Linked DNA regions of Callithrix jacchus. The protein of the gene in region 2 interacts with the protein of the main gene of each other region in a pairwise test. Links are inferred from orthologs where the notes say so. Each region holds a gene or a part of one and is shown on either strand. Other genes may lie near its edges.

The links.
Region 1: the proteins of DZIP3 (region 2) and ZCCHC10 interact in binary tests that used the Homo sapiens proteins (3 or more experiments, as listed by UniProt). The link is inferred for Callithrix jacchus from reciprocal best matches to the Homo sapiens genes DZIP3 and ZCCHC10.

Annotation. Positions count from the first base shown.
Region 1 is NC_133503.1:75,414,145-75,418,629, reverse strand, and holds the start of ZCCHC10 (zinc finger CCHC domain-containing protein 10), read right to left. Parts: upstream 2,820-4,485; 5' UTR 2,751-2,819; coding exon 2,473-2,750; intron 1-2,472.
Region 2 is NC_133516.1:99,714,016-99,717,835, forward strand, and holds part of DZIP3 (E3 ubiquitin-protein ligase DZIP3), read left to right. Parts: intron 1-1,630; coding exon 1,631-1,707; intron 1,708-3,680; coding exon 3,681-3,820. UniProt on the Homo sapiens protein: E3 Ubiquitin ligase proteins mediate ubiquitination and subsequent proteasomal degradation of target proteins.

The DNA.
Region 1 (4,485 bases), on a different chromosome or scaffold from region 2:
AATCTCAGCTGACCATAACCTCCGCCTCCCAGGTTGAAGTGATTCTCCTGCCTCAGCCTCCTAAGTAGCTGGGATTACAGGCATGCACCACCAAGCCCAGCTAATTTTTTGTATTTTTAGTAGAGATGGGGTTTCTCCATGTTGGTCAGGATGGTCTCGAACTCCTGACTTCATTCAGGTGATCTGCCTGCCTAGGCCTCCCAAAGTGTTGGGATTACAGACATAAGCCACCACACCCGGCCAGGCTACCCTAAATGAATACATTTTCTTTTCTTCTTAGCTTCCTATAACTTTTTTTTTTTGAGACAGAGTCTTGCTCTGCCAGTCACCCAGGCTCGAGTACAATGGCACGATCTTGGCTCACTTCAACAACCATCTCCCAGGCTCAAGCAATTCTCCTGCCTCAGCCTCCCAAGTAGCTGGGGTTATAGGTACCCACTATCATGCCTGGCTAAATTTTTTGTAGAATGGGGTTTCACCATGTTGGCCAGGCTGGTCTCAAACTCCGGACCTCAGGTCATCCACCCACCTCGGCCACCCAAAGTGCTGGGATTACAAGCGTAAGCCACCTTGCCTGGCTTACTTTATAACTTAGAAATCTTTAAAATTTTTTGACTCTTTTTTTTTTTTTGAGACAGAGTTTCGCTCTTGTTACCCAGGCTGGAGTGCAATGGCGCGATCTCGGCTCACCGCAACCTCCGCCTCCTGGGTTCAGGCAATTCTCCTGCCTCAGGCTCCTGAGTAGCTGGGATTACAGGCACGTGCCACCTCGCCGAGCTAATTTTTTGTATTTTAGTAGAGACGGGGTTTCACCATGTTGACCAGGATGGTCTCAATCTCTTGACCTCGTGATACACCCGCCTCAGCCTCCCAAAGTGCTGGGATTACAGGCATAGCCACCGCACCCGGCTTTTTGACTCTTTTGTAATAACAATTAATGCACAAACACATTTACAGCTGTACAAAAATATTTTCTTTCTTTATATCTTTATTCAATCAGCTGTTTTCTATTAATTTTTTCTTTCTCTTTAAACTTTTTTTGTTAAAAACTAAGACACATTCTCCTCCAAACCTGTTTCTGGATGACTGGGGAGTTGTGGGGGGGGGGGAAACTAACACACATACATATTAGCCTAGATCTACACAGGGTCAGGATCATCAAGACGTCACTAGGCAATAAAATTTTTTAGCTCCATTATAATCTTATGCAACAACCATACAATTAACATATGGAATCTGTTATGTAGTAAGTGACAATATATAGAAAGAGAGATCCAGTGATGGCCTGCATGGCTTGGTCTTATTCAACATTTTTTTTTTTTTGAGACAGAGTCTCATTCTGTTACCGGGCTGGAGTATAGTGGTGCAATCTTGGCTCACTGCAACCTCCACCTCCTGAGTTCAAGCAATTCTCCTGCCTCAGCTTCCCGAGTAGCTGGAACTACAGGTGCATACCACCATGCCAAGCTAATTTTTTGTATTTTTAGTAGAGACGGGGTTTCCATATATTGGCCAGGATGGTCTCAATCTCTTGACCTCGTGATCCACCTGCCTTAGCCTCCCAAAGTGCTAGGATTGTAAACATGAGCCACCACACCCGGCCTTGTTCAACATTTTTATAAATGCCTTGTATGAGGACACAAATGTACGTATTTATCAAACCTGCAGTGACACAAAGCTGACAAGGATACTTAATAACAATGGATGATGGAATCAGGATCCAAAAGGTCTTGACAGGCTGCAACTCTGTGTCGAATCTAACAAGATGAAATTTAACAATGACAAAGGTGAGTCTGACACTTAAGTCCAGAAAATCAATATAAGGCCCTGACTTGATGACAATTCAGGTAGAAAACAGGGTTTTTCAACTGACTGAAATCATAGCAACAGTCAGAAACAAGGAAGTCAGAAAGAAGAGGGGTTAACTGTACAAATACTATTTCCTTTCAGGTCAACATAAGCTTTTAGATAGACTTGCAAAACACAATAGGCCACTTCAGGAGGTAAGTATACATTACTGGAAGTCTTCAAGCCAATTTTGATAACAACTCCGGATGTTGAAGAGGGAGTACTGGAATCTCATATAAGGTTTAATGGAAGAAATGACCCCAAATAGTGCCTAGATTCCATAATTTATTTACATATTGTTAGATGTAATTACAACTTATGAGGTAAAAATAATTTCATTCCAATTGATTTAGTAGACTCATTAGTTAAGTCTCTGAAAGATCTACTGAATGAGGAGGTCATATTTAGGCTTTTTCCCTCCTTTTCTTCTATTAGTCCAAAGACTTTTTTTTTTAAGAGTGATAATAAGGCCAGGCGTGGTGGCTCACGCCTATAATCCCAGCACTTTGGGAGGCCGAGGTGGGTGGATCACGAGGTCAAGAGATCGAGACCATCCTGGTCAACAAGGTGAAACCCCATCTCTACTAAAAATACAAACAGTTAGCTGGGCATGGTGGTGCGCACCTGTAATCCCAGCTACTCAGGAGGCTGAGGCAGGAGAATTGCTTGAACCCAGGAGGCGGAGGAGGTTGCGGTGAGCCAGGATCGTGCCATTGCATTCCAGTCTGGGTAACAAGAGCGAAACTCCGACTCAAACAAAACAAAACAAAAAAAGAGTGATAATAGTACTTTCTCACTTCTCTTGAACTTGAACTCCCGACCTCAGGCGATCTGCCCACCTTGGCCACCAAAGTGCCTGGATTACAGGTGTGAGCCACCATGCCCGGCCTCTCACTTCTCATTACTAACTTAAAAACTAAGCTGGGCACGGTGGCTCACGCCTGTAATCCCAGCACTATGGGAGGCCGAGGCGGGTGGATCACGAGGTCAAGAGATCGAGACCATCCTGGTCCATGAGGTAAAACCCCATCTCTACTAAAAATACAAAATTAGGTGGTGCGTGCCTGCAATCCCAGCTACTGGAGAGGCTGAAGCAGGAGAATTGCTTGAACCCAGGAGGCGGAGGTTGCAGTGAGCCGAAATCGCGTCACTGCACTCCAGCCTGGGCAATGAGACTCCGTCCCCCCCCAAAAAAAACTATTTTATTTATTTATTTATTTATTGAGACGGAGTCTTAATCTGTTGCCCAGGCTGGAGTGCAGTGGCGCAATCTCGGCTCACTGCAACTTCTGCCTCCAGGCAGTGATTCAAGTGATTCTCCAGCCTCAGCCTCCTGAGTAGCTGGAATTACAGGCATGCACCACTATGTCCAGCTAATTTTTTATTTTTAGTGGAGACAGGGTTTTGCCATGTTGGCCAGGCCAGTCTCCCAGTCCTAACTTCAAGTGATCCACCCGCCTTGGCCTCCCAAAGTGCTGGGATTACAGGCATTAGCCATCACGCCTGGCCTTAAAAACTATTTTAAATTTGTTATTATGGAAATAATATATGCTCCTTGTAAATAAAATTAAACCTTTTTGATGAATATAAAATGAAAACTAAAGGCTCCTCTCTTGCTTTTCCCCCAAATACACCCCCAAACTTTCTTGGACCTCGCAAGCTTCTAAAGGCCCTCCTTTGCTGAACCTCTTGTAGACTTACAGTCTGTATACCACAAGAGTTTTTATAATATGCCACGTTTGCCTACTAACAAGAACGGAAGCTCTGTAAAGGTAAGATTTGTCTTTTACAAATCATATAACTCATGTACCAAATACACACTGTAGAAATAAAACATTTAACTTTTTGATACTTCTGAAACAAGAAATAACAGTATTATTCAGATGTTAAGTCTTATTTTCATTTCAAATTTACAGTGGACACTGGTTTTGCTGATTCTGCGTTTACCTCCTCTGACCTATCCACCACGGTCATCATTGGCTATGGTCATCCATTCAATTGTACTGAAAGGTGAATAAGATCTCTAAATCAATCAGAGCTTCACAATCCCACAGGCATGGTTTAGGGTTGGTCACGTAATCCAATCTAGACCAAAGAAGCACAATCAACTTGAAGCTGAGAGAATATAAACGACCCTGGATACTTTCAGCCATATTGGGACCAAAGAAGAGAGTCTATCCAAGTATGGAGCCAACAACCAAAAAGCAGGCATGAGAGACTGGGAGAAATGGGACCCTAGTGACATCATTTAGCACTCTTCTTAAGTATTATCATCCCATTTTTGATCTCAGAACTGTCTGACTTAATGGTGGGCCACAGTGGCTCATGCCTGTAATCCCAACCCTTTGGGAGGCTGAGGTTGGTGGATCACTTGAGGTCAGGAATTGGAGACCAGCCTGACCAACATGGTGAAATTCTGTCTCTACTAAAAATACAAAAATTAACAGGGCACGGTGGTGGGCGCCTGTAGTCCCAGCTACTCTGGAGGCTAAGCAGGAGAATCGTTTGAATCAGGGAGGCAGAGGCTGCAATGAGCCAAGATTGCACCACTGCTTTCCAGCCTGGCCAACAGAGTGAGATGCTGTCTAAAAAAGAAAAAAATAACTGTCTGACTTCAAAGCCTTCTTCCTTCACCAA
Region 2 (3,820 bases):
TCTTGCCTTAAGTGTTTTTGTCTGATATTAATATAGTTATTCCAGCTTTGTTTTGATTAGTGCATTGAAGTATATCTAGTTTAGTATTTTGCATCAATTTACTTCAGCCTACATATATCTTTGTAGGTGGCAGAGGTCTTTCTTTTGTATATCCAAAATGACAATCTCTGCCTTTAAATTGGGTTTTTTATTCCATATGAATTTTCTTTACTAATTTATATGGTTGGAAATCTACTGTTTTCCTTGTTGTTTTCAGTTTTCTTTTTCTGTTTTATTGTTTATTTCCTGATTTGGTTTATTAGTTTTACCCTTTTTTGAGGATATTATGTATTGCTTGAGGACTTACAATACATATTTTTAACTTACTAAATTCTATTTTTAAATAATATTATACTACAGCATGTATAGTGTAAGAATCTTGCAATAATAGATTTCCATTTCTTCCCTTTTTTGTGCTATTGTTTTTATATGTTTTATTTCTACTTATTTTATAAATTATTGTTACTTATAAGTATAGTTTAATTTTTTTGTTTCAAACATTATATATGGAAACATTTGGTTTTATGCATTTTAAAATCATGTTTGGTATGATTCCATTCTTACTATCATACTTCAGTGTTTTCATTTTATTGCTCTAACTTTAGAGTGTTACTTCACTAATTTAATCATTCTACCATTGATAGATATTTATTTCTAGTTCCTGGCTATAACCATAGTTTGCAGTGAACTCTCTTGTACGTGTCTCTAGGTCTGTATGAGCAGAAAAATTTCCAGAATGTATGCCTAAAAGTAGACTTTCTAGGCCACCTGTGTATATCTGTAACTTCACTAGCTTTTGCCAAATTGTTTTACAAATGTACACTCCCCACAAACCGTATAGGAGATACCTTTTACTTAGTATCTTTGCCAATAACTTCATATTGTTAGAGTTTTACATTTTTTTCAGTGTAATGTGTAATTAACAGTGCTATAGTGGTACTGGAGATCAAATCAGTTAAAAATAACAATAACCACCAACATCCCTTTCCTCATTAAGTTTACATTGTAGTGTTGTCCAATATTTTTTTGTTTTGTTTTCTGTGGTTCATTTCAAAGTGAAGCTATCTGTTTAATGGCAACATTTACCTAGTGCTTAGTCTAGTTAATACATTTTGCTACTTCATTTTCGAATTATTTTTATTGACGTTATGCTAGCATCTTTATTATTTTTAATCACTAAGCGTTAAATGAGTTGGGTTTTCTTGGAATAGTTATTGCCAAAAAATGTATGTGGTGAAGAGAGGGCCAGGGAGGATTTACAAGTTTGCAATTTTTTGTTTGCTTGCTTGCTTTTTTGGTTTTACAATGCAAAGCTTTCTTTCCTTGTTTTCTGCTACCATACAGCCTTTTTGCAAGGAAGTTTGTAATGTGTTTAGTATGAAATCTGGCACTACTGCTTACTTGATAATTCCAATGAAAGTGACAGTGTAGGGTTGTCATTGTTGGTGGGCTTTATTTGTTCCATTATTTTTCTCCTTCTTGAATTATTTCTAGGAGTAGAAGATGAAAATAGTCATGCTTATACTGGAAATCTTGACTGACTTTGGCATTATTTTATTTCCACTGTAACTTAATTTTTTTCCATTTGCAGTTATAAAAAGTTGGTATCTCTGAAAATAGCTGATACTGATATAAGACCGAAGATCAGTTTAAAATTTAATACAAAAGGTATTATTTTATTTTTATATGCCTTCCATTGAAAACTGTGTTAAAATGTTTTACTTCTGTTGTCAACTTTCATGCCATTAACTACCACATCTTCACTGTGTTTGTCATTCACTGAACTTGGGTTTATACCAGCAAGTAGCACTTGGTGTAGGCTGGAAATCACAGACAGGAAGATCAGCAGATGTATGGACCTCACATTACCTTGCTATACTACATGCTATACATGCTATAGAGAAACATGCTAGTTCTGGTGCATAGCTGTAACTATACTGTGGGATTATGTCCTAGCAGAGGTTTTCTACCAACCCTTCTTCCCCTGCTGTATTCCTTCTTAGTAGAGCAAGCATTAGAGTACCCTTACATGAAAGGAATGAACATTTTGAGTTTGAGACCAACTACTCTAAACTTAGCTGCCAGCTGTTTAGGAGCATGCTAGTACATTTCCTGCCCAGAACCCGAAGACCTTAATTAAGGGAGCCTAGGCTCTTGGAAGAATAGTTTGGTGGCAGTCCAGCCAACTTCTTATTTGGCAACTCAAAGGAAGCTCCCTGTGTCATTTGCATTTTAACTTTGCTCCCACAGTGTATATCAAGTATTTCAAGCAAAAGTGTTAATTTAAAAAATCTCTTGAAACATAGAATCTTGAAGGATAAAATAATAAAGCTGTATTATGTGACAAATGCATATTTCAATATACATACAAAAGCCAAATGCCATCATATATCAGATTATTAGTACTCTCTAATTCACTTCAGCCTACTTTTCTCCTTCGAAATCACTATTAAAACAGGAAAATACCAAATAGTTCAGTTTCATGCCTTATTCCACGTTATTGATGAAATATCTACTTTATTATCTTTTTTGGAGGGGTAAGAAGATGAGGTTTATTAGATCAGAGTTTCTCAAACATCATACATATATTTGATATATTTGGTGATTTTGTTAAAATGCAGATTTCAGTTCAGTAGGTCTGCAGTGGGGCCTGAGACTGTGCTTTTCTAACAGGCCCTCAGGTAGATGCTGATGCTGCTGGTCTCTGGGCTACCCTCTGAGTAGCAAGGAACTAGATCTTTTTGCATTTCTTGATATAGATCTGAGCTATCTAGTATAGGAGTCCCTAGCTATATGTGGCTACTTAAATTTAAGTTAATTAAAATTAAATTTAAAATTCAATTTCTTAGTCACCCAAGCAGCATTTCCAGTATTCAACGAGTATTAGTGCAAATATAAAACATTTTATCACACCACATTCTGTTGGACAGTGTGGATTAGGATAAAGTATAATTATTTAAGTAAAGCATAATTAAACATTGACAATTAGCATTCTTGGTAAATTTTAGAATTTTTAAAGATCTAATACTTTGATGCTATTTTGTTGCCAAAGATCATTTACGTGAACAAAACCTTGGATGGTTGAAAGACTTCTGTGGTGATTAGTCTTTGATTACTTTTGCTTGGGAACATGTTTCTGTTTAGATTTTTTGACAGAGAGAAAGCAGCTTGCTTATTGAGCATCAGTTGTGGCAAAGCAGTGTACTGTGCTTTATTCTTTTGGAACAGTTTTTATCCTGCAGCAGCTAAGGATAAAATATGAGAGGCCAAATAGAAAAAGAGCATTGGGCCGGGCGCGGTGGCTCAAGCCTGTAATCCCAGCACTTTGGGAGGCTGAGGCGGGTGGATCACGAGGTCAAGAGATGGAGACCATCCTGGTCAACATGGTGAAACCCCGTCTCTACTAAAAATACAAAAAATTAGCTGGGCGTGGTGGCGCGTGCTTGTAATCCCAGCTACTCTGGAGGCTGAGGCAGGAGAATTGCCTGAACCCAGGGGGCGGAGGTTGCGGTGAGCCGAGATCGCACCATTGCACTCCAGCCTGGGTAATGAGAGCGAAACTCCGTCTCAAAAAAAAAAAAAAAAAAAAAGAAAAAGATCATTAATGTGGAATGTCTTGACTTCCCAAAATTTATTTTCAGATGAAATGCCTATCTTCAAGCTTGATTATAATTACTTCTATCATCTGCTTCATATAATTATTATTTCTGGTACTGACGTTGTTCGGCAAATATTTGATGAGGCTATGCCACCCCCTCTTTTGAGAAAAGAGCTTCTTATA